4 linked regions of the Saccharomyces cerevisiae S288C genome follow. Changing the gene in region 4 together with the main gene of any one other region gives a genetic interaction. Each region holds a gene or a part of one and is shown on either strand. Other genes may lie near its edges.

Evidence for each region.
Region 1: mutations in CRC1 (region 4) and MPC3 impair growth when combined (synthetic growth defect), as found in Saccharomyces cerevisiae (2 studies listed by BioGRID, with this or other methods).
Region 2: mutations in CRC1 (region 4) and JJJ3 together harm fitness more than expected from each alone (negative genetic interaction), as found in Saccharomyces cerevisiae (2 studies listed by BioGRID).
Region 3: mutations in CRC1 (region 4) and LAM1 together harm fitness more than expected from each alone (negative genetic interaction), as found in Saccharomyces cerevisiae (2 studies listed by BioGRID).

Annotation. Positions count from the first base shown.
Region 1 is NC_001139.9:974,326-980,034, reverse strand, and holds MPC3 (mitochondrial pyruvate carrier), read right to left. Parts: upstream 2,700-5,709; coding exon 2,259-2,699; downstream 1-2,258. Other genes in the region: SDA1 (Sda1p), read left to right, coding at 1-270; LSC2 (succinate--CoA ligase (GDP-forming) subunit beta), read left to right, coding at 716-1,999; YAP1802 (Yap1802p), read left to right, coding at 3,454-5,160; YGR240C-A (uncharacterized protein), read left to right, coding at 5,258-5,458. UniProt on the Saccharomyces cerevisiae protein: Mediates the uptake of pyruvate into mitochondria.
Region 2 is NC_001142.9:609,544-615,288, forward strand, and holds JJJ3 (Jjj3p), read left to right. Parts: upstream 1-2,869; coding exon 2,870-3,388; downstream 3,389-5,745. Other genes in the region: SFC1 (Sfc1p), read left to right, coding at 230-1,198; YJR096W (aldo-keto reductase superfamily protein), read left to right, coding at 1,652-2,500; YJR098C (uncharacterized protein), read right to left, coding at 3,643-5,613.
Region 3 is NC_001140.6:403,475-412,579, reverse strand, and holds LAM1 (Lam1p), read right to left. Parts: upstream 5,478-9,105; coding exon 1,791-5,477; downstream 1-1,790. Other genes in the region: U5 snRNP complex subunit LIN1, read left to right, coding at 174-1,196; RTT107 (Rtt107p), read right to left, coding at 6,402-9,105. UniProt on the Saccharomyces cerevisiae protein: Involved in mitochondrial fragmentation during programmed cell death in response to high levels of alpha-factor mating pheromone or the drug amiodarone. May be involved in sterol transfer between intracellular membranes.
Region 4 is NC_001147.6:512,750-515,934, forward strand, and holds CRC1 (carnitine:acyl carnitine antiporter), read right to left. Parts: upstream 1,530-3,185; coding exon 546-1,529; downstream 1-545. Other genes in the region: alpha-1,2-mannosyltransferase KTR1, read left to right, coding at 1-257; Ras family GTPase RAS1, read left to right, coding at 2,495-3,185. UniProt on the Saccharomyces cerevisiae protein: Transports carnitine, acetylcarnitine, propionylcarnitine and to a much lower extent medium- and long-chain acylcarnitines.

The sequences.
Region 1 (5,709 bases), on a different chromosome or scaffold from region 4:
ACACTAACAGGCCCTATCAAATACAAACAGTCTCGTGAGGAAAGATTACAAAAGGTGTTGGAAGGTCGTGAAGGTAGAGACAAATTTGGTAGTAGACGCGGTAAGCGTGACAACATGCGTTCTACTACCAACAGAGAAAAAGAAAGAAGGAAGAACTTTGTTATGTCTATTCACAAGAGATCTGTTAGAGGTAAACAAAAAATGTCACTACGAGACAAGCAAAAAGTGTTACGTGCACACATCACCAAACAAAAGAAGAAGGGGTATTAGACGACATCGTAGCCATATTAATATATACATACATATACACAGATACATTCATCTCTCCAACTGTATGAGGACTTCTCTACCTTGAATGGAACACCAAAGCCAGGTAGATACTAAAAAAAACTCTTTTTATGTCTTGGTACAGAGAAAAATGCTCCAACTGGTATCGATTATGTGTTCATCGGGAATTCTCGGCTTTTCCCCGCAGCGGCGGAGTGAGTATTCTAAAAGTTGGTTGGCCTTTCAATTGCCGCGTAGTCAACATCTTTGAGGTTTTATATAAGATCGACGTTTTCCTTATCAGCACTTTGACGTTTTCTCTCGAAAAATAACAGTGACTATAGAGCGATAGTCCAGTTTTTTTGTAACTGACTTTTAGGTAGTTAGGATTAATAAGGATTGAGTCAATACAATCGAAAAAAATACTGAAGCATTGCAACTGAACAAAATGTACTCAAGAAAATCCTTATCCCTAATTTCAAAGTGTGGGCAATTAAGCAGGCTAAACGCGCAAGCTGCTTTACAAGCAAGGAGACACTTGTCAATTCATGAATACAGGTCAGCTCAGTTATTGAGGGAATACGGTATTGGTACTCCAGAAGGATTTCCAGCGTTCACTCCCGAAGAGGCTTTCGAAGCAGCCAAGAAATTAAACACTAACAAACTGGTCATCAAGGCGCAGGCATTGACCGGAGGTAGAGGTAAAGGTCACTTCGACACCGGTTACAAAAGCGGTGTTCACATGATCGAAAGTCCTCAGCAGGCAGAGGATGTTGCAAAAGAAATGCTCAATCATAACCTGATTACTAAACAGACGGGAATAGCGGGGAAGCCAGTATCTGCTGTATATATAGTGAAAAGAGTAGATACAAAGCATGAAGCTTATTTATCTATTCTAATGGACAGACAAACCAAGAAACCGATGATCATTGCGTCCAGTCAAGGTGGTATGAATATTGAAGAGGTGGCTGAGAGAACCCCAGATGCTATAAAGAAATTTTCAATTGAAACTTCAAAGGGATTGAGCCCACAAATGGCCAAGGATGTTGCCAAGAGTCTCGGTTTCAGTCCCGATGCACAAGACGAGGCAGCAAAAGCTGTTTCCAATTTGTATAAAATATTCATGGAAAGGGATGCTACACAAGTGGAGATTAACCCTTTGAGTGAAATTGAACATGATCCAACCCACAAAATCATGTGTACAGACGCCAAATTTGGGTTTGATGATAACGCATCATTCAGACAGGAAAAGATATATTCCTGGAGGGACTTATCACAAGAAGATCCTGATGAAGTTAAGGCAAAGAAGTATGATTTGAATTTTGTTAAGTTGAAGGGTAACATTGGATGTTTAGTCAATGGTGCTGGTTTGGCTATGGCTACTATGGATGTCATCAAATTAAATGGAGGCGATCCTGCGAACTTTTTGGATTGTGGTGGTGGTGCCACCCCTGAGACCATCAAACAAGGTTTCGAATTGATCTTATCCAATAAGAACGTAGATGCAATTTTCGTCAATATTTTCGGCGGTATCGTAAGATGTGACTATGTTGCCCTGGGGCTGGTAGAAGCCGCCAGAGAACTAGAAGTTAGGGTCCCCATTGTGGCACGTTTGCAAGGTACCAAAGTAGAAGAAGGCCGCGACATTATCAATAAGTCAGGCGTGAAGATTTATTCGTTTGATGAATTAGATCCTGCTGCTAAAAAGGTCGTTGAATTGACCCAAAATTAAGCTTCTCGAGAAAAACAAAAGAGTTAATAATAAAGTATATATGCTTTTTTACTATTAATAAAGTTTCTTATTTTCCCTACATGTATACATACATATAAATATACTCTTTTGGAAAAAATTTCTTTTTTTTTTTTTTAATTTTTTTATATTTTTCCATCTTTTGATGTAATATAGAGGTTATATAATGAAAGAATATATAAGAGGTCATAAAAAATCATTAAAAAAATGCGAGTTCAGGAACATATTATCGTTTACGTAATCAGTGCGTTATTGGCGGATTAGTACCGATCACACCTTTGTTCATCGATGTGGATGCAGTTTGCTTTGCTGCGACGGCTGCAGGAGTCTCCCCTTTTATTATGTAGTGAATAACCTGTTTAAAAGAATCACCGTTCCGTATCCTAAAGTTAGCAATTCTTGTTAGATGGTAGCCTGCAGTGCAACCCAGGAAAAAATTGACGGAAGCTAACAGATAGTTCTTGGGCTTGATGACAAACGACCAACGCGTCCAAATCAGTGCCGTCGCTAATAAAGATAAATTTTGTGCTCCTGATACCTTCTCAACAGGCCTCTTAATATCATTTAGCCCTGCGAAGACCAGCCCCCACTTCAAAGTTGGGGCCCAGAAGTGTACTGTTTTAGGGCCTGTTTCACTATTCCAAAATCTTCTAAAGGCAAAATTAAAAGCTGATGCTGACATTAAAAATATAGGTTTGTGTTTCTATGTGTCTTGAATGCTTATGCGTATAGTCTTAAAGACTGATTGTATTCTTTTTTTTTATATGAAGTATTTCCGCCGTAATGAAAGGGAAAAGAAAATTTTCTCCAATACTCCAATTGCAACGCACCATATTATCCGGGAGAATACACGCACGCAGCCGCATATATATATATGATGGCCTTAGTTTTGTTTGAGCCTTTCGGTTTTGCGTGACCAAACCAGGGAGCGGCTCGCTTGACCCGCCCACGGAATGACGTAAAGCCGTTAATAGCCGATTGGCGGGAGAAATAAAAGCGGGGCACTCCCAAGATGAGGGGTAATCGGGGTAATAATATCCAATCAAGGAGGAAAAGGGCCAAATGTTACCCGACTATCCAAACTGCAGGGTAACCTTTATTTTTTCTTTTCTTTTACTCCTACCATTTTTTTTTTCAGATTTTTCCCAGTATGGCTTTGTTTTCATTTTGCTTTGGTGGAGGGATAGATTAAGTTTGCAGCTGCGTAGAAAAGTTTCTTTTCTACATTCGAGGAAAAAGTCGACTTATTAGTCTGGTTAACTTGTTATTAGGGCTTCTTGCTTGAGTTATAATTTTAGAAGGAGAAAAAATAAATCTGTAGCAGGAGTACCAATTTGCTACGCTTGCTAACATCTACGAGAGTAACAATATCAAGCATACAAGCGCGACTGTCTCGGCTACCCCTATAATAGATATAGAGGCGTGTTTGTGAAACAATGTCTTCATTATATACTAAGTTGGTTAAAGGGGCGACCAAAATAAAGATGGCCCCTCCAAAGCAAAAATATGTGGACCCTATTCTCTCGGGCACTTCGAGCGCAAGAGGATTGCAAGAGATTACCCACGCATTGGATATAAGGTTGTCTGATACAGCCTGGACCATTGTTTATAAGGCATTGATTGTGTTGCATCTGATGATACAACAAGGCGAAAAAGATGTCACGCTAAGGCACTATTCCCATAATTTGGATGTTTTCCAATTGAGAAAGATTTCGCATACTACTAAGTGGTCTTCCAATGATATGAGGGCTTTGCAGAGATACGACGAATACCTAAAAACACGTTGTGAAGAGTATGGCAGGCTAGGTATGGATCACCTACGAGACAATTACTCCTCGCTAAAGCTGGGCAGTAAGAACCAGCTTTCAATGGATGAAGAGCTAGATCATGTTGAATCATTGGAAATTCAAATTAATGCCTTGATAAGGAATAAATACTCTGTTTCAGATTTAGAAAACCATTTGTTATTGTATGCATTCCAATTGTTAGTACAAGATTTACTAGGTCTGTACAATGCTCTTAATGAAGGTGTCATTACACTTTTAGAATCATTCTTCGAATTGTCCATTGAGCACGCAAAAAGAACACTGGATCTCTATAAGGATTTCGTGGATATGACAGAATATGTTGTTAGATACCTAAAAATAGGAAAAGCTGTCGGTTTGAAAATCCCCGTTATCAAACATATTACTACAAAGTTAATTAACTCCCTTGAGGAGCATTTGAGAGAGGAAACAAAAAGACAAAGAGGTGAACCTTCTGAACCGCAGCAAGATAGAAAACCATCTACGGCCATTAGCTCTACCAGTAGTCACAATAACAACAGCAATGACAAGAATAAGTCTATAGCGCAGAAGAAACTGGAACAGATAAGGGAACAAAAAAGACTGCTGGAGCAACAATTACAAAACCAACAGTTGCTCATTTCCCCCACGGTCCCACAAGATGCTTACAACCCATTTGGATCACAACAGCAAGATTTAAATAATGACACCTTTTCATTCGAACCAACCCAGCCACAAATGACCGCTCAAGTCCCTCAACCAACTGCTAACCCCTTCTTGATACCGCAACAACAGCAACAGGCTTTACAGTTGACATCTGCGTCTACAATGCCACAACCAAGTGAGATACAGATTACTCCAAATTTGAATAATCAACAAACTGGGATGTATGCTTCTAACCTTCAATACACCCCAAATTTCACCGGCTCAGGGTTCGGCGGATACACGACCACCGAGAACAATGCAATTATGACCGGCACTTTAGATCCAACAAAAACGGGGTCTAACAACCCATTTTCGCTAGAAAATATTGCCAGAGAACAGCAACAACAAAATTTCCAAAACTCCCCAAATCCTTTTACCCTCCAACAAGCACAAACCACCCCGATTCTTGCTCATAGTCAAACAGGTAATCCATTTCAGGCTCAAAACGTGGTGACATCACCAATGGGCACATACATGACGAATCCCGTGGCCGGTCAACTTCAGTATGCCTCTACTGGTGCGCAGCAGCAACCACAAATGATGCAGGGTCAGCAAACAGGGTATGTTATGGTTCCCACTGCGTTTGTCCCCATCAATCAACAACAGCAACAACAGCAGCATCAGCAAGAAAATCCTAACTTAATAGATATATAGTGAGCGATAGATACTACAGTTTTTTGTTCTCAACAGGCCGTCCTTGCATATTATAAACTCTGATTTTTAGGTAATCCCTTCCACCTTTCTATATTTTATGATACTATCCAAACATGTAAATTTTACGTACCATACATATAACCTCATCTATAATTTTTACCCTGATCTAACTAACTTTGGCATGCCTGGTTCAATCTACGGGTTACAGTCATCGTTGAAAACGATGGAAAAACATGTCGAGATTCCTCAATCCATACACCATTATAGTCCGTTTTATCAGCTTCCACTAATTTTTTAAATCTCAGTTTCTTCTTGAAATTTAGCATCGTGCATGGGATAGCGGCTAGTAAAAAAGAAAATTAATATCTCATTAACAAAGTTATTGTACATAATCCGGTACAATATTCTTCAATGTACTCTCTAATATCGAGCACACTGGCAATATTCATGCACACATTCGCCTAATGCTGACGAATGCTTAATCAGTGCAATTACTGCCACCCTCTTGATATGTGGGCTAAATCCTTTAGGACCTGTAAAAAATGCAAT
Region 2 (5,745 bases), on a different chromosome or scaffold from region 4:
CGTTTTGTTAACTTTCTTGTTGTAGTTCTTCTTGTTCTTGGCGTTTCCCCCTTTGTTTTCTATCTGCTTCATAAGTAAAGTGCAAAGCATTTTGGAAGATATTATCAATTGAGTCATTGAAAGAAACTTGGCATCTTCCCTATTACTAAAACTAAGAATACTTGATTCAAGAAAGAAGTTTATATTAGTTTTAGCCGTAAGATAACATAACAAAGAAGAAGAAAGAAAAATGTCTCAAAAAAAGAAGGCTTCCCATCCAGCCATCAATCTCATGGCTGGCGGCACAGCAGGTTTATTTGAAGCATTGTGTTGTCATCCTTTAGATACAATTAAGGTGAGAATGCAAATATACAGACGGGTAGCTGGTATTGAACATGTTAAACCCCCAGGATTTATTAAAACTGGGCGTACCATTTATCAAAAAGAAGGTTTCTTGGCTCTGTATAAAGGTCTAGGTGCTGTGGTCATCGGTATTATACCTAAGATGGCAATCCGTTTCTCGTCTTATGAATTCTATAGAACCTTATTGGTTAACAAGGAATCAGGAATTGTGTCTACCGGTAATACTTTTGTTGCTGGTGTTGGGGCTGGTATCACCGAAGCTGTTCTTGTCGTGAACCCGATGGAAGTTGTAAAGATTAGGTTACAAGCTCAGCATTTAACTCCGAGTGAGCCAAATGCTGGTCCTAAATATAACAACGCCATTCATGCAGCCTACACTATTGTCAAAGAAGAAGGTGTTTCTGCCTTATATAGAGGCGTTTCCTTAACTGCGGCAAGGCAAGCAACTAATCAGGGTGCTAACTTCACAGTTTATTCTAAACTGAAGGAGTTTTTGCAGAATTACCATCAGATGGATGTCCTACCTTCATGGGAAACTTCTTGCATAGGTTTGATTTCGGGTGCTATTGGGCCGTTTTCCAACGCTCCATTGGATACTATAAAGACAAGGCTGCAAAAGGATAAGTCCATCTCATTGGAAAAACAGTCCGGTATGAAGAAAATCATAACCATTGGTGCTCAACTACTGAAAGAAGAAGGTTTTAGAGCTTTGTACAAGGGTATTACCCCAAGAGTGATGAGGGTGGCTCCAGGTCAGGCTGTCACCTTTACCGTTTATGAATATGTAAGGGAGCATTTAGAAAATTTGGGTATATTCAAGAAGAATGACACACCAAAGCCAAAGCCATTAAAGTAGATGATGAACAATGGGACTACAAAATGAAATAAAGAAAAAATAGAAATAGGCTAGAAGATCAATTATTAATCGCCCTATTCTTCCTTATTACCTACACAAAATAAAGCAGCAACATAAGAAACAAAAACAAAATGAAAACAAACCAAATAAATCTATGTAAGCATACTCATTTCAATTTGATATTCATTACTTGACTTTTTTGTCCTTATTTGAGGCTCCATAAGCGCGCCATTTTTCCCTACTCCCTTTTTTCGTAAATAGTAATAATGTGCTGAAAAGAACAATGAAGTAGTTATCATACATATTCCGTCGTGTCGATATGAGGGGAGGTGTCTCTTTCTTTCATCCCTTGTCGCAACCTCCAATATATAAGAGCATAAGCAACTGATCTTACTTTAGTAATTAACTTAGCATACCTAGCCCGAAGGAAGAAAAAAAATTCACCTCAACAACATGGTTCCTAAGTTTTACAAACTTTCAAACGGCTTCAAAATCCCAAGCATTGCTTTGGGAACCTACGATATTCCAAGATCGCAAACAGCCGAAATTGTGTATGAAGGTGTCAAGTGCGGCTACCGTCATTTCGATACTGCTGTTCTTTATGGTAATGAGAAGGAAGTTGGCGATGGTATCATTAAATGGTTGAACGAAGATCCAGGGAACCATAAACGTGAGGAAATCTTCTACACTACTAAATTATGGAATTCGCAAAACGGATATAAAAGAGCTAAAGCTGCCATTCGGCAATGTTTGAATGAAGTCTCGGGCTTGCAATACATCGATCTTCTTTTGATTCATTCGCCACTGGAAGGTTCTAAATTAAGGTTGGAAACTTGGCGCGCCATGCAAGAAGCGGTTGATGAAGGATTGGTTAAGTCTATAGGGGTTTCCAACTATGGGAAAAAGCACATTGATGAACTTTTGAACTGGCCAGAACTGAAGCACAAGCCAGTGGTCAACCAAATCGAGATATCACCTTGGATTATGAGACAAGAATTAGCAGATTACTGTAAATCTAAAGGTCTCGTCGTCGAAGCCTTTGCCCCATTGTGTCACGGCTACAAAATGACTAATCCAGATTTATTAAAAGTTTGCAAAGAGGTGGACCGTAATCCAGGTCAAGTTTTGATTCGTTGGTCTTTACAACACGGTTATTTACCACTACCGAAGACTAAAACTGTGAAGAGGTTAGAAGGTAACCTTGCAGCCTACAACTTTGAACTGTCAGACGAACAGATGAAATTTCTTGATCATCCTGATGCTTATGAGCCTACCGATTGGGAATGCACAGACGCGCCATAAAAAGAAAATGCGAACCGTAGAATAACGTATATAGAACATATAATTAGTTTACGTTTCACAAAGTATTAATATTACATGTAGCTTTTTCAGGACTTTCGATCTAAATCAAAGATTAAAGGAGCTGCTAGAGGTAGAAAAGGAAATCATTGACTTTTCTTGAAGATTTATGAGCGGGTAACTGGAGATGGAAATTTTCAGAAAAATTGTAAATGGATGCGATGACTTCGATGTGACGTTACTAGTCTTACCATTGTAAAAACCACTATCGGTGCCAAAAGATAAGCGCAATCAACTAAGAAATTTACCACGCTCTTTGTATTGTATTTATCTCCAATTTAATCTTTCTTTTGGTGTGAAAATTTAGCGAAAATGTCATTGGTGAATTCGTTAACACACTACGAAATTTTAAGAATTCCATCGGATGCAACACAAGATGAAATCAAAAAGGCATATAGGAATCGGTTACTAAATACGCACCCCGATAAACTTTCTAAAAGCATACATGATACGGTTAGCAACGTCACAATCAATAAGATTCAAGATGCTTATAAAATACTATCGAATATAAAAACTCGTCGCGAATATGATAGGTTGATCCTTGAAAACTATAAACGCCAAGGATTTCATAATTGTGGTGATGGGCTGGATGAATTTTCCTTAGACGATTTCTCATTTGATGAAGATAAGCTGGAGTTTATGATGAATTGTCCTCGCTGTCAATTTGTTGGTGGTTTTCATTTTAGTGAGAGTTTGTTAGATGAATGCATTGATAATGTAGACGCTATGGAACGGAGTCATTCTGGTTATCAATTATTAACCCAATGTAGCGCATGCAGCTTATGGCTGAAGGTTAATTTTGACATCGAGGAAGAGCAAGAAGGACAATAATGAAAATGGGAGGGGAAATTGAGCATATCAGATAAATCTGTTTATAGAATTATTATTTTACTTCGTGGGAAATCGAATGGTGTATATAAAAGAGGTTGTAAAATTGACGAAATAAATAGTATTTAGGCAACTAAAGATAAAAAAATATTATTTATTTTTATTCGCGGTGCGTTGCCAGATTTTTTTTGACATGCGGAATTTTGGTAAAAAGAAAAATGCAGATATGAATAGTAAACAAAGGAATAAAAAGCCTTTCATGAAGAAGTTCGTGTTCGAGATCTTCTTCCTTCTTTTTCGCTGTCGACGATAGATATGAATGCTTTTGCCATTGATTTCAAATCCGTCATTAAGCTAACATGACCTGAAGAACTGGCGATTTTACAAACAACTGGAAAGCCTCTCTGTTCAGGCAATAACCATTTATGGTGAACAACACCGTCGCCCGGACCATAGTAAAAATCTTCATAATTCCCATCTTTTATATCTTGTATACCGTTCACTTTAGCACCTCTAACAGTGGGAACCTTGTTACCGTAAACCATGGCCAATGGAGGATATTCTTTGTTCGGGTCGTAATCTAAGCTATCCAAATAATTCTTTGTACGTTTTAAAGTTCTCGCTAAATATTCACAGCTATCTTCATAAGATGTATGGAAGACTTCATCGAAAGGCACATCCCTTGGTACCTGTTTATTATTGCCGGCTACATTCCTAACAACAGGTGCATTTAGGACAAACTTGGTAGTTGCGTTTAGGGTAGCTTTAAGCGAAAGCGCTGATTTCGTTTTCCTTGGTAATAATTTTGATTTTTCGTGAGCTGATTCCTCTCTTTTCTCATTGACGAGAGGTGACAAGCCAAGGGTTTTCCAAACATCTGTATCAAAAAAATCGAAATCATACCTCTCTAAGGTAATTTTGTCAACAAAACATCTACCATCTAACGGTAGAAAATAGAAACTACTTCTCATAAAAAAGTTGGTTTCTTTAGTGAAAATAGTTTTATTCCACATCACATCATCTCCAAACCTAATAGGACCTAAAATATTTGGACATTGGCTTGGGGAACCCACGTAAATAATACCTCTTATCAAATGAGTACAGTCTTGCAACACTTTATGTGCGACCAATCCGCCCATTGAATGGGCAATGATGTATATTCCCTTCTTATTTTTTTGCTTATTGTAAATTTCCTCTAGTTTAGTCGTTAAATGCTTGGCAGATATGTCCAAGGATAATCTCCAATCATAGCCAAACTGCTGAACATTTAAATTAGGATTTGCGTCTAGCCTCTTTATCAACCTCTTAGAGATATCAACAGGCCCTATATGTGTTAGCATTCCATCAGGGACAATCTCCTTCTGAGTTTTAAGTTCATCTTCGTCATTAGGTCCGATCAATAAATCGACTTTCGTCATATTCAAACCTGCCTTTAATGGGATCCAAATTCGCTTATGAGTAGTAGCATCCCTTAGCACACTACCTCGATATCCACCCATTATAACGACATCTCCTTCCAATTCATTCCATATAGATTCTAAACGCGAACGGTAATATCCGTCATGAGTTTTGTCGAATGGGTCTGCTGTTATTTGCTTAATGGAGTTCTTCAAGGCATCCATTTCCAAAGATTCTTTAACAGCCCTTAACCTTGAATTATCAATGCCCCTTTCGTATTTAAATAATTCTATCTCTTCCAAGGAAGAAATGGAGGTTGATTTTTTCAGTTTTTGCTTGATCTCATTCTTTCTTAGATTCTTTTTGATGAACTCATCTGGAGTCTTGGGAAGCACAGTTTTAATTATGGCTAATGGTGAACTTGATCGGAAATTTGTATTACCAAATGGTAAGGAAAAGGAGAAAGTTTTATGAGAGCTGTCATAGTTCCCGTCATGCGAATAAGAAATAATTTCATCGAGATCTTCATCATCAGCGTCAAGAGAAATGGCACTCGCTTGCTTCTCTTCTAAATTATGATAGTTATTGGGCCCAGTTGTTTCCTTCTTTCTTCCCCTTTGTTCACTATCGCTGTCTTTTTCTACTTTATTGCTTATAACTCTTGCACCTCCAATCAAGGTATCCACTTTCTCCATTGTATCCAATTCACCTTCGCTTTCATTTACGGAAAAAAAGCTTACATCACTACCACTATCACTTGAATCAGAAAGACATTGCTTGTTATATTTATCATTATCGGAAATAAGATCAGTAGCCGGAGTTGCCATCATTGTAATACTCCCCAGTTAACCTCTACAAGTTGATTCTTTTACGTATCACCAAAATAGGCAGGCTATTCTTACCCAGTCCTTTCTTTTTAAGGGCGTCATAGAGTTGTAAGCATTTTTTGAGAATGCAGTGAT
Region 3 (9,105 bases), on a different chromosome or scaffold from region 4:
TTCCATTTATGCCCTAATAATCGATTTTAATTACTTAATGGGTAAGTTTCTCTGACTAGATTAAAAGAAGCGCATCCGAACAAATTGGAATGACCATGCTAAGCTGCCTTTTAAAGAACAAGGGAAAACTTTGATAAAAACACTCAAGTGCACCATATTGTTTGTAGAAGGATATGAAATATACGCAATACCCGAACAGCTCAAAACTGAAAAGAAATAGTGATCGACGTGAACACGACGAAAAGCTTAGCGATGAGTTACATAATCAAAGTACGATATATGAAGATGAAGAGCTAAGCAGGGCAGAATATGATTCTGATTCTGATTCTAGCGTTGAAGATTCTACAGATAATGAAAATAGTGGGAAAGAAATGGATGAAAAATCCTATGAAAAAAATGAAGATCACGTCGAAGACCATAGAAAGCGAAAGAAATCGAAAATTCAGCTTTTGGATATTGCAGAGTTCAAGAAAGAAAACTTAGCCGACTTAGATTATCAGATCGGTAATTCAGAGAGCAAGGTAGAAAAAGGTGTGAATATAGAGCCATTTAATATAGATGACGAAATAAAACATGGGGTATTCGATAAAGATGGGAATTATATTAAGACAGAAAACGCCACAGAAAATGATCAACAAGATAATGAGGAATGGATGAATGATGTCATAAATACAGAGGAGGTAAATCGCTTAGAAAAGGAACAAAGTGTCAAAACGCAGAATTCGAGACATTATATGGTCCACGAAGCATTAAATCTTTTGAAATTTTTTCTTGTTGATGAGAATGAAACAGTACTGGAATCCTTGGGCAGGTTAAACAAGCTGCGAAAAATTGCCATTTCAAAAAAGAACAAATCATTGAAATATGTTATTCACGGAATCGAGCTATTATCTGATTTGATCAATATACTAGAAAAAAAGGGATTCAGTGAAGTATATGAATATAACCGCTTAAAAGTTCAGGATGCTATAGAAGAGGAAATTTTCGATGACTCCTCCAGAATAGTTAACCATAAAACAAAGTTATGGGGCTTCAAGTGGTTGAACAAATTAGATGAATATCACGGCCTGTACACGAACTATGAAATGTCTTATTGGCAAAAATCCTACTTCAAAAACAGTGTTATAGTAAAATTTCACAGCGAACCAGATCGAGATGAAAACTGGATACATGTATCGTGTTTAAGTTTCATGTAAGATATAAAAGTTGAAATTATTCAAGAGAATTGCCTGCGAGACTATATAGTACTAAGTTTATTGTTTGGTCAGATAAATTGATGAATGTTGGATAGGAAATTTTTATCAATCATATCAAAAGATCTGAGTGAGCTGAGAAGGTTATCATCATATAACAAATAAACAGGACTATATTATTGGCAGACAAAAAATGAGTATCACAAGTGTACAAGGAAACCAGGACAGTAAACCTACTGTCGCAAATTTCCTCTATCCACCTGGCGCGTAAGAATCACCTGATAAAGATATCGTTGAAAGCATCGACCTAGACATTTTTAAGCTGCCATAAATTGGGCTGATAAATTTGTGATATTTTTCTCCAACTGTTTATGGTCTCTTATATACTTTGCGAAATTCTAGAAAAACGAAAAGGTGAAAAAAAGAAACCCGGAAAGGGCGAAAAAAAAAAGTACTTAGGGTTAGCACCACAATTATATAAAATGCTATGTATTTTACAATATAATCATGAGCCAAGAAATAAAAAAAGTTCACCCATTCTATTAGACAAGACGGGGTCCTTCTGATTATTGAAGAGTAGACATTCTGGGGCACTATTCAGACTGGAATGGCAGATAATCTGTTGTACTCTGCAAAACATGCCATACAATAATCTTGTAGTTTGGTATCGTTTATCCATAAATCAAAGATTTCATTCTGAGTGGTGATGCATTTGTCTCTTTCTGTTATTATGAATTTTCTGTAACTTCCCTGTACGAGTTCCTTTTCCGTATTTTGTAGAATTTTTAATTCCGTCAGCACTTGGTTTCGTTTAATTGCAATTTCTTGCCTTGTTCCTTTGTACTGGTATGCATTTTTGTCTTCGTCAAATCTCTTGAATACTGGATTTTCCTGGTCATTATCCATCATTTTTCTTGTAAGTAGGTTCAAATCAGGCACTGTCAAAGACCGATGCATGATTTGAAGTCCTCGCTGATCACCATTGGCATAGTTCTGAAATAGGGTTTCGGCTGACTTTACGGAGAAATATGAATGAATAGATTTACCAACAAAGAACAAATTGGTTACCGCAGATATCAAAAGACAATAGTATAAAGTTTTGTTAACTTTTGAAAAACATTTGAAGATAACCATTACCATTGCCAGTAAAACTTTCATGGTCTTAATGATGACACTGCTTAAATAAAACACGGTCAATTTTGTAAAAATTTTTGAAAGAGACAGAAAATCATAATTGATATATACAGGTTGCATGAAATCGCCGGCCTTTTCATCGTTTTCTATTCTTTCCTTTGGTAAAACACCAAGGAATCCACACAATTTAATAACATCACTCATTTTTTCTCTATCGTTGAATTTTTTTAGATATTCCCTCGTCTTTCTGTTAATTTCAGAATGTTCAAGTTTACAATATCTCAATGCCCAGTTGAGGTGTATTCTTTCAAAAAGCCATAGTTTTTCAACTTTGGTATTCAACTTATCAATAGATTCAACATAGTTGAAGTCATATAGTATTGCCAGGTCACATTTTTTGAGGGACTCTCCTTGAGAGGTGATACATTCTGCAATTATGAACCTCACACGAAGGAGTAAGGGATGGCATAGCGGAAATTTCACAATAATGGGACCTTCTTCCACCTCAAAATAATAACCTTGTTTTATTTTTGTCACACGCTGCTGAAGAACTAATTTGAAGTTGTCATTGTCATCCTTCAACCATAATAGATCTTTGATAAAATTAGAAGTTCGATTCAGTTGAAACTGTAACTTACGGCAAAGTTCAAATTGACAACTTGCATCTTCTTTCGCGCGCCTAATGCGCTCCCAGTATGAATTGTTATTCAAGTTACTGCCCTTCTTACAAAGAAATAGTGAACTTGGAAAAACTTGAGATTTGTCTCCAAAAAGAACGTGGAATAGCGTCTTGCTTCCGACTTTAAAATTGTCTTGAAAGTAGCACCAGGCTTCCCTTTCTAAACGGAGTTTCCTGCTCATTAATTCCATAGGCGTTTCGTTAGTATTCTCAAAATGATGGTCATACGTGCTCTTCAATAGATAATCATAATCTTTTGAATAATGTTCTGATTCTGACAAATTATCTTTGATGATTTTTTTTTCGTTCTCAATCTCTTCGTCTAATTCCTGGAAAATTTCTAAAACCTCTTTTTCGCCCTTTGGGATATGCATTGCCTTATTTTCTATCAGAAATTGTAACTTTGAGGCAACTGCTCTTCGATCTGTAAAAAAGACGGACATATTAAACCTGAGTCCATCGCCTCTTTGCATGTGCAGCATTCTTGAAGAAACATGTTTTGGGCTTTTATCATATTCGATTGAGTCGATATCTAGTAAATCTATTCTTCTCAAATATGAAAAGCCTGAAATATTTAAATAGACATAAATGTGGTTAAGGGTAACAAAAGCCATAGATGCAAATTTTTGTTTATTGTTCGGGCACCACACCGATGAATATCTTAAAAGAACAAGTTCTTTTGGGACTTGTAAAAAATCATGATTCACTGAAAAGAAAATTGATCTAAATTGTATATCATCGACTTTCAGGCTGTATGGATAATAGTCGGGGTAGCTAACGGAAAACCTGGAAGAATTCGATACTGTGGCTGGCTTGTGTACTGAACTTCCTTTGAGTGGATTGACTAAATAGGACAAATCATTCCAATTTGCCGTACCCCAGGTGTTTGCCTGGGTAGCACACGGATAATAATTTGATACAGATAGAAATGTAGAGAATAAAGCCAAATGAGTCAACTGCGTGGCTATCGGTGTAGAAATTACTCTCAGATGGTATGCCTTATTATCAATGATAGAGTATATATCATCCTCTGACATATAATTTTTTTTTAGCTCTTCTACCAATGTCAAAGTTTTACTGGAAAATGAAGTTAATAATTTATCTGTTGACGTTGAGCTACTTGAAGCAAACTCGAAAAATTGAGGTTCAATTTTTTTTCTCGCCAATTGATAACGAGGATCGTTTTCCTCCTTTATCGACAATGCGATTCTTTTGTGAGAAGTTAAGGTGTTTATCCACGATTTTAACTCGTCAATACTTTCAGCTTGCAGGATGATATCTATGTATGTATTTTCTTCTTCTGTTTTGCAATTTGGATTTTGAATCCTCAATTTGAAACAAAAATTTCTAGGTTCTTTGGGCAGATATTCTACAGTTATCCATAATATACCGAATTTATCGGTTTCTTCGACATAAGTTTTGCTAGGCGACAGTGAAAAAACTCCAAAAACATTGTTCTGTAGAAAGCACCATCTTCTTACCCACACAACTCTTTTCGGATCATGACCAACTGTAGTTTTCATGTACAACCAACCCGATAGCCCTTTTTCCTCAGAATTATTTCCGTTACTTATCGATTTTGGAAGGTTAAACTTCAAATTTTGTATGCTTTTCAAATCATAGTCTTGTATCAGGCGAGATGGCTTCATTCTTGCCAAGCTGAGCTTCAGAATGGCATACTTAGCTTCAGATAGCTTGGATGACAATGCTTGTAAAGTCTGAAGGTTACTTTCTATCCAATCGGTCCAATCCTTTAATGTTTCCGTAAGTTCGGGAGTAATGTCGATAACGTCCTTGGTGTCCTTGGTAGTAATAACGTTATTTTTGCGCACAATGTCTATTGTCTCTATCAGGAATTTATCCAAATTAACTTTCATTAACGAAATAGCCTCAGTCAAATCCAAGGAAGCTTCTATATATTTGTGTTTAATATCGACTAATTTGAATGTTTCATTTTGCAGATTTTGTGGAATTAAAGTATTGCCATCATTAGTGGCCGCTAAAAAGTCAGTTAAAAACGAATCATACTTCCTTTGGTAGTATTCAAAAGTTTTTCTCTTGTTGAAGTAAGGGTTAATAGCATCAGAGCTCAAAGCAGACAATGCCGCAGTGTATTGTGAGTTTTCATCACCTAAAATTATTTTCATAACCGTATTTGAAAGGTCACTGACATCTCTAGTAAAGTCTCTTACAAGCAAGGGAGTATATGGCTGGTTACTGACAAATCCATTGGAGAGTAATATAGGAGAAGGGAGCAGCTGTGAAAATAGTGTTTCCTTTATTCTTTGGAAGTCTTGGAACGAAGGCTTGTACGTATTTTCTACATAATCCACAGTACTGTGCATCCAACTACTCAGAGATTCCATTCTGGTATGGAAATAATTGACAGAAGCTCTAAAAGAGGGGGAATCGGTGGATGCTTCGTTAAGTGCAACGGTTATTAGCCGTAGCTCCGCTTTGTGTTCATGCATTATAAAATTGTTCTACAATGACCAATACCAAAGCTATAGAAGTGAAAAACTTGAAATTGGCAGTACTAAATCGAAGAACAGACCATCAGCTTCTGTCACCCTAGTTTTCACTACAATAAATGAAAGCTTCGCGAATAATACCTACAGCCCTTTCTTATTCACCAAATTTTCAGAGTGTTCTCTTCAAAGTTCGGGTAATAGGTGATTTATCTTCACTCATATTGAGACGATACAATACGCACGAGGATAATAAGCCCAAACTCAAAATTATGCATCATACCGTAATGTTTCCCATTTAACCCAATTTTATCTCTCATCCGCTCCACATATATGTATCTTGGTACTGTTCGCATGTAAACATTATTTAAGATTTCTGACGTAAATCTATGGATGTAACCTGTTTAATTATTAGATCAAAAAGTTCTTACTAACGTTAGTAGTTGGCTTGAGCCATTAAATTTTGCGTCATTAACATTGCGGATACTCTCGTAATAATATACCTAAAATACACTAGGTTTGGAACATTGTTCTTGACGCATTGAGTAGAAGGGCTCTCCGCTGTGTGAATATCTCAGAGTGGAAAATTGTACAATAGAGTTGCTTTACGCATTCTGGCCATGAATCTGTTTTTATCCATGAAATTGTAGAAAAATTAAAAGGTTTGCGGATAAAGTGTGGAATAAATGATTCTACTCACGGTACTATTTGACCCTTTGTATCCTATATTAGAAATGCTTTATTAAACAATCTAATTCAAAGACAGTACCAAATAATTGTTTCTAACTAGACATTTAAAATGGTCTGTTAATCATATGTGGGTTGTTTGTTGAACATAAGATTTTCTACAACGCATCTTTATAATTATTATATATTTATTTGTTATCAGTGTCGTATGTCAGATGACGTAATATATAGTGTCCATTTTTAGTTATTTTTCTTTTGATACAAAACATTTTTCTTTGATGTAAAATCAACATTGAGATGAAAAATTGATTCAACACACCAATTCCATTCAACAATCAAAATTGTTTCGTTTTTATCACGATCATTAATCAGTTTGGTAAATTTTTTAACCTGTGAAGCTTTGGTGACGATAAGTACGTATTTAAAAATGCCTCCGTTTTCCTGCTTAGAAACGTCATTTGGGATTATGTCTTCAAATGTGCATTTCTTACTACGTAAAACGTTGATTTTTTCGATACCATGTGCCTTTAGAACAGAGCCTATTGTATCTACACCACCCGGTATATCATTGACTAAGTTAATGCATCTAATATTCGCTCTTTCGAACACCTTAGTAGGTAGTTTGGTTTTTGATATTATACTCTCATTAATTCCATTTATCTCATAATCAAACAAGTTTATATTTATTTGAGAAAGTTTATCTTTTTTAGAATGAATTTGTTTCAGTAAATCAATAATAAATTCAGGTTTCAATGCGAATTTTAACGGTTCAAAACTTAAGCTTTTTAAAAATTTCTCGGTTCTCAAAATCTTTGGAGCAAAAATACAATTCAATTTATCCGTTTCTTTAATATTGTCAAAAATTTTTATACCTAGTTGGTTCAATATTTCGATGTCAACCTCATTAAATCCATCATGGAAACAACCGGTGCAAACCGCTTTTAGGTCATAATTTGGTAGTTCATTAAATCTAGCTAATATCTTTTCCGCTTTAGTAGCCAGTTCTTTGTTATTATTTGACCTTTCAACATCTTGGGACAATGAAATCTCCTCGCTATCAATTCTCTTCCTTTTAAAGTTTTTCTGAAATTCATTTAATGATTCAATATCTGTATGCAATCTCTTCGCAGCTTGTGTCTTTGCTAACCTTGAATTGCCACTTGATGGCATAAAAACTTGCGTTTGCGCGGTGGTTGGAGTATCAACGCCACTCGTAATATTTTGAGACGTCTTGGGTGTGGTATATTTGGAATTAACTGCCGGTTTTTCGTCATTAATGTGATCATCATTATCAGATAATCCTTCAAACAAATGCGAGAATTTATCTGTATCTTTTTTAGAAGTGACGTCTTCCGTAGAAATCAGTTTTCCTGTACTTTCCTCCCCTTGCTTTTCATTCGTCATTTGATCTACTTCAATGTGACATTCATTGGTTTCTTTCTCCTTTTCATTTTTCTTCGAAGTTTTGATCTCTCGTTTAGTTCGTTGTCCTAGCTGAACTTGCAGCTCCGTTTCTTCCTCTTCTTTTTTATAATCTATGTCATTCTTCTTGCGTGACTGTTCCCTTATTTCTTGTTTCTTAGGTGCATCATACTCCGTAATAGGTTTCGTAAACTCCTTTTCTTCTCTTTTTTCATGTCCTTCACAGAAAACCTCTGTTTCCATACTAATATCTGAGTTTGAGTCTTTCTTTTGTAAATTAGATTTTTTACTGTCAACTACTGGAAAACTTGCCCTTGAAGGTCTGGAAACAAAACTCCGTTCTAAATCTCCAGAATGGGTTACAGCCACCTCTCCTGATATTTTTTGTAATTTGTCAATCTTTTCATCAATTGAGTTCTCAAAACTACTAATGGGCGTACCATCTTTCTTTGATAATACATTGGTGTTATCGTTAATTTGATCCATTTGATCATTTGTGGGAGGCGGCTTCTCTGATATGGATTGCGTGTCGTAAGTCACCATCGATAGGTTTTTTGGAGTTGGGAGAGATGAATGATCCATTCCTATTTGGCCGATATTCCATCCCATGTTATCATCCAATTTAAAATTTTGAAATCTACTGTCTTTGGGGTTTAACTTGGAATTATTCATATAACATTGCTCTAACCACATATGATTTGTCACAATAATGGCATTTTGCGGGTCCAGTGACCATTTTTTTGCGACTTTGAATTTTTTGCCAATTGTACTCTTCGTGATCAAGTGTGTGTTTTTTCTTGTTAGTTCAGGTGTGCTAAGTCCTCCTAATATTTCTACTAACCTCTGAATATAAAACCTTTGGGAGCCGAAATAATTAGTGTACGCGACTGTTAATTCCTTAGAAGTAAATAATTTCGCATGAAATGGTTGGTGAATAAGTTTACATTGCGATACAGGTGTAAATTTTTGCAGCGCAAACATATAAAACAACCAACTTACGTTCCCAACATGAATTTCCGGTTTAATGCTTTTGGTTTTTTCTAGTATCGGTGAGTTAGCAGAGTGGCCGATATAACAGTCAATATCAGGAAAAGCTTGGTAAACAGACTTCAGATCGTCAGAAAAACTCAACGGAGTTACTTTGCCGTCCAAATCCTCGATAAATCCTTTCAAAAACCAATACAAAGGTGTGAAAAAGTTTAAATCTGGTGAGATAGCAAAGTGGTGATTTTTGAATAAAGTTTTGTTTGGATGAAGAGTAAGCTGCGATGATGATGTCTGCTTATCGCCAATAACCTCTTCCCATTTTGCGAATAACTGTTCCTCACTGGTGTCCTGCATATCAAGCTCACACAAAGTAGCAAGCTCGCCCTTCAAGGGCTTCGCCATTTTGAAATGATATAATATCCATATTGGATAGACAAATTTCCACTCTCTCAAAGGCTTTTCGGTGTGCTTGTTGGTCGATGAAGAGGAAAAAGAGCCAAATGTCAATTTACTGACCGTTGCTATGATCGGGTCC
Region 4 (3,185 bases):
GATGGGGTGATGCTCCAGTTCATTCTATTGGTGCTGCGCTGTTCTTGGACCGCTCTGAAATCCATCACTTCGGTGATATTGGTTATTACCATGTTCCATTTCACTCCTGTCCAATAGACACAAGTATCAGACTGGCTAACAAATGTGACTGTGATCCAAGCAAAGATTTCACATGGCACAGTTATTCATGTACTACTAAATTCTACAATATAAACAAGTTGCCAAAGCCTGCTGGTTGGCAAAACCATATCGGTTGATTATACTGTAATCAGCCCACGTTGTCTTTGTATTTTCCACTTTTTTTATTTATACTATTTAAAGAAACAGAATAAATTATAACTCTTTTTTTTACATATCACATTTATATTTACTCCATTGCGTTACAAATATGAACGCTTCGACAACAACGCCAAGGAAACCGGGATAACCCAACTGATATTTTCTACCATACACTGAACGAAATTGCAGAACCAAAAAATAACAAAAAGTTCCCAAAAGGAATGCCAGAAAAAAATGGGAGGCAGGTCCACCTAACAAAAATTTAATCATATGCCATACTTCTTGAACAGTGAATGAGTCATCTCCACACCTAAAAATGTGGCCGCATTGGCTGGGAAAGATCTTAGTAAAGCAGGACCTAAACCAGGGAAAAATCCCTTGATACCACCTCTTTGTAGATAAATTTCCTTTGTGGCGGAAAGCATATTCTGCCTCGTGGAGGAAGCCTGCAATTTTGTCTTTATAGTGTCTATGGGGAAAACAGCTAGCCACATCGACATACCAGCAATACCACCAGCAAGACACACGTTCAAGATATTGACCGGTTCATCTTTGCCCGCATCTTGACGAGGTTGCCTACTATTCAAGTAATTTTTTGAAATTTCATAAGATGCAAAATATAGAGCTGAGCCAGGCCCATCTCTTGCTAAAGTGGCTAATGAACCTTTAAATAAAGAAGCTATGCCACCTTCTTTAACAATGGTTTTAGCCGCCTGAATGAAAGAGCCCTTAGAAGATGTTTGCAGGACAACCTTTACTCTTTCCGTTGGCGCAGTCACTAAAGTGGTAGGAATAGCGCTGATAAATCCTGCTGCAGCCATTTGTCCCATAGTTAACTCGTTACTGCCTCCTTGCTTGTTATTAAAAGTAACCAGTTTCTTACCCACATCGTAACCCCAGAAAGAAACAGCGAATATGGGAGTAACACCTAATAAGGGCGGGATAACACCTTTATAGAACCCCTTTACGGAATTGGTAAATAATGTGCCCTTTACTTGAGTTTTTGCTTCTTTTATAATATTTGTAATGGCATGTACCGTGGAATTCGCTTGTCCATTTTGACATCTCACTTTAATCAAATCGAAGGGATGACCCGTAAACACCGCACATACCCCGCCAACTCCACCGGCCACAAATGATTTGATATTTTCGCGTACAGGGTTTGATTTTATAGGTGGACGAGACTTGGTCAAGCTCCCACTCTCTTCTTTCAATAATGAAGATTCTGATAATGAAGTGTCTGAAGACATTACTGACACGATGACGTTTGTGGAGGATAAGAAAGTCGTACAATACGTAGAATCCAAGGAAAACCTGGAATAAAAACACACATAGAGCGCAATTGAATATCGGCTATTTCTACAGTACAAGCGTCTGCCTATATATGCGCTTGAAATATATCTATTTCGACTAAAGGAATTATACCATCATGCATCTTTACTCTTAAATCTCCATTTGTCCACCGACTTATTGCGGCAAGTGGAGATCCAGTCACGCCGGATGACTGGGTGTAGATAAATAGCCGCCCAACTGATCCCTGCATAAAGCTTATATGCGGATATTAGGAGCAGTAACCCGATGACATTAAGCGTGTAGCCACAAGGAACTTCACCATTACTCATAGCAGAAAAAGCAGTGACCAAAAAATGGCAGGAATGACTCTTTTCTGTTTCCCCTCATATACACTGAAACATCTCGATATAAAGCATGCCCTTTATTGTACCATCAATGCAATGTAACGGCAAACGAGGCTAGGAATATGTATTACCCGCACTGAATTGCTTCTTCACTTAGCACACCCTTGATCGCTATGTTCTACGCTGCTACCCGTTCGGTAGGGAGTGGCGGGGAAATTCACATTGGCACAATGTAAACCCGTAGGAAAAAAAAAAAGCACGAAGAAAAAAAAAGAAACCAAAAATATTTACTACATGTAAGTCTATGGACATTTGACAACAAACTTTTTCAACTCATCGCAAGATTATGAATTTTTCACGGCTTTTCAGGTTTTTTCCTCCTTTTGTTTTACATTGAAAGGTTTATATTTTATGTCTTTGTATGGTTCTCTTAATTTGGATTCTTTCTTGTACGGTGTCTCTATTATCATCTGTCTTGTTCTTTCTTGCAATGCTTAATTAACTGCTGCCACAATTGACTTCGGTTTGGCTATTTCACGATTGAACAGGTAAACAAAATTTTCCCTTTTTAGAACGACATGCAGGGAAATAAATCAACTATAAGAGAGTATAAGATAGTAGTTGTCGGTGGAGGTGGCGTTGGTAAATCTGCTTTAACAATTCAATTCATTCAATCATACTTTGTGGACGAATATGACCCTACTATCGAAGATTCTTACAGAAAACAAGTTGTCATCGATGACAAAGTATCCATTTTGGACATTCTAGATACTGCTGGACAAGAAGAGTATTCTGCGATGAGAGAACAGTACATGAGGACTGGGGAAGGTTTCCTACTGGTCTATTCCGTCACCTCTAGAAATTCCTTTGATGAGTTACTGTCTTATTATCAGCAAATTCAAAGAGTAAAAGATTCTGACTACATTCCTGTAGTCGTGGTAGGTAACAAATTGGACCTTGAAAATGAAAGACAAGTCTCTTATGAAGACGGGTTACGCCTGGCCAAGCAGTTGAATGCACCCTTTCTAGAAACGTCTGCGAAACAAGCCATCAACGTAGACGAGGCCTTTTATAGCCTTATTCGTTTGGTAAGGGACGACGGTGGGAAATACAATAGCATGAATCGTCAACTGGATAATACGAATGAAATAAGAGATTCGGAGCTAACCTCATCTGCAACAGCGGATAGAGAAAAAAAGAACAACGGGTCTTATGTACTCGATAATTCTTTGACCAATGCTGGCACTGGCTCCAGTTCAAAGTCAGCCG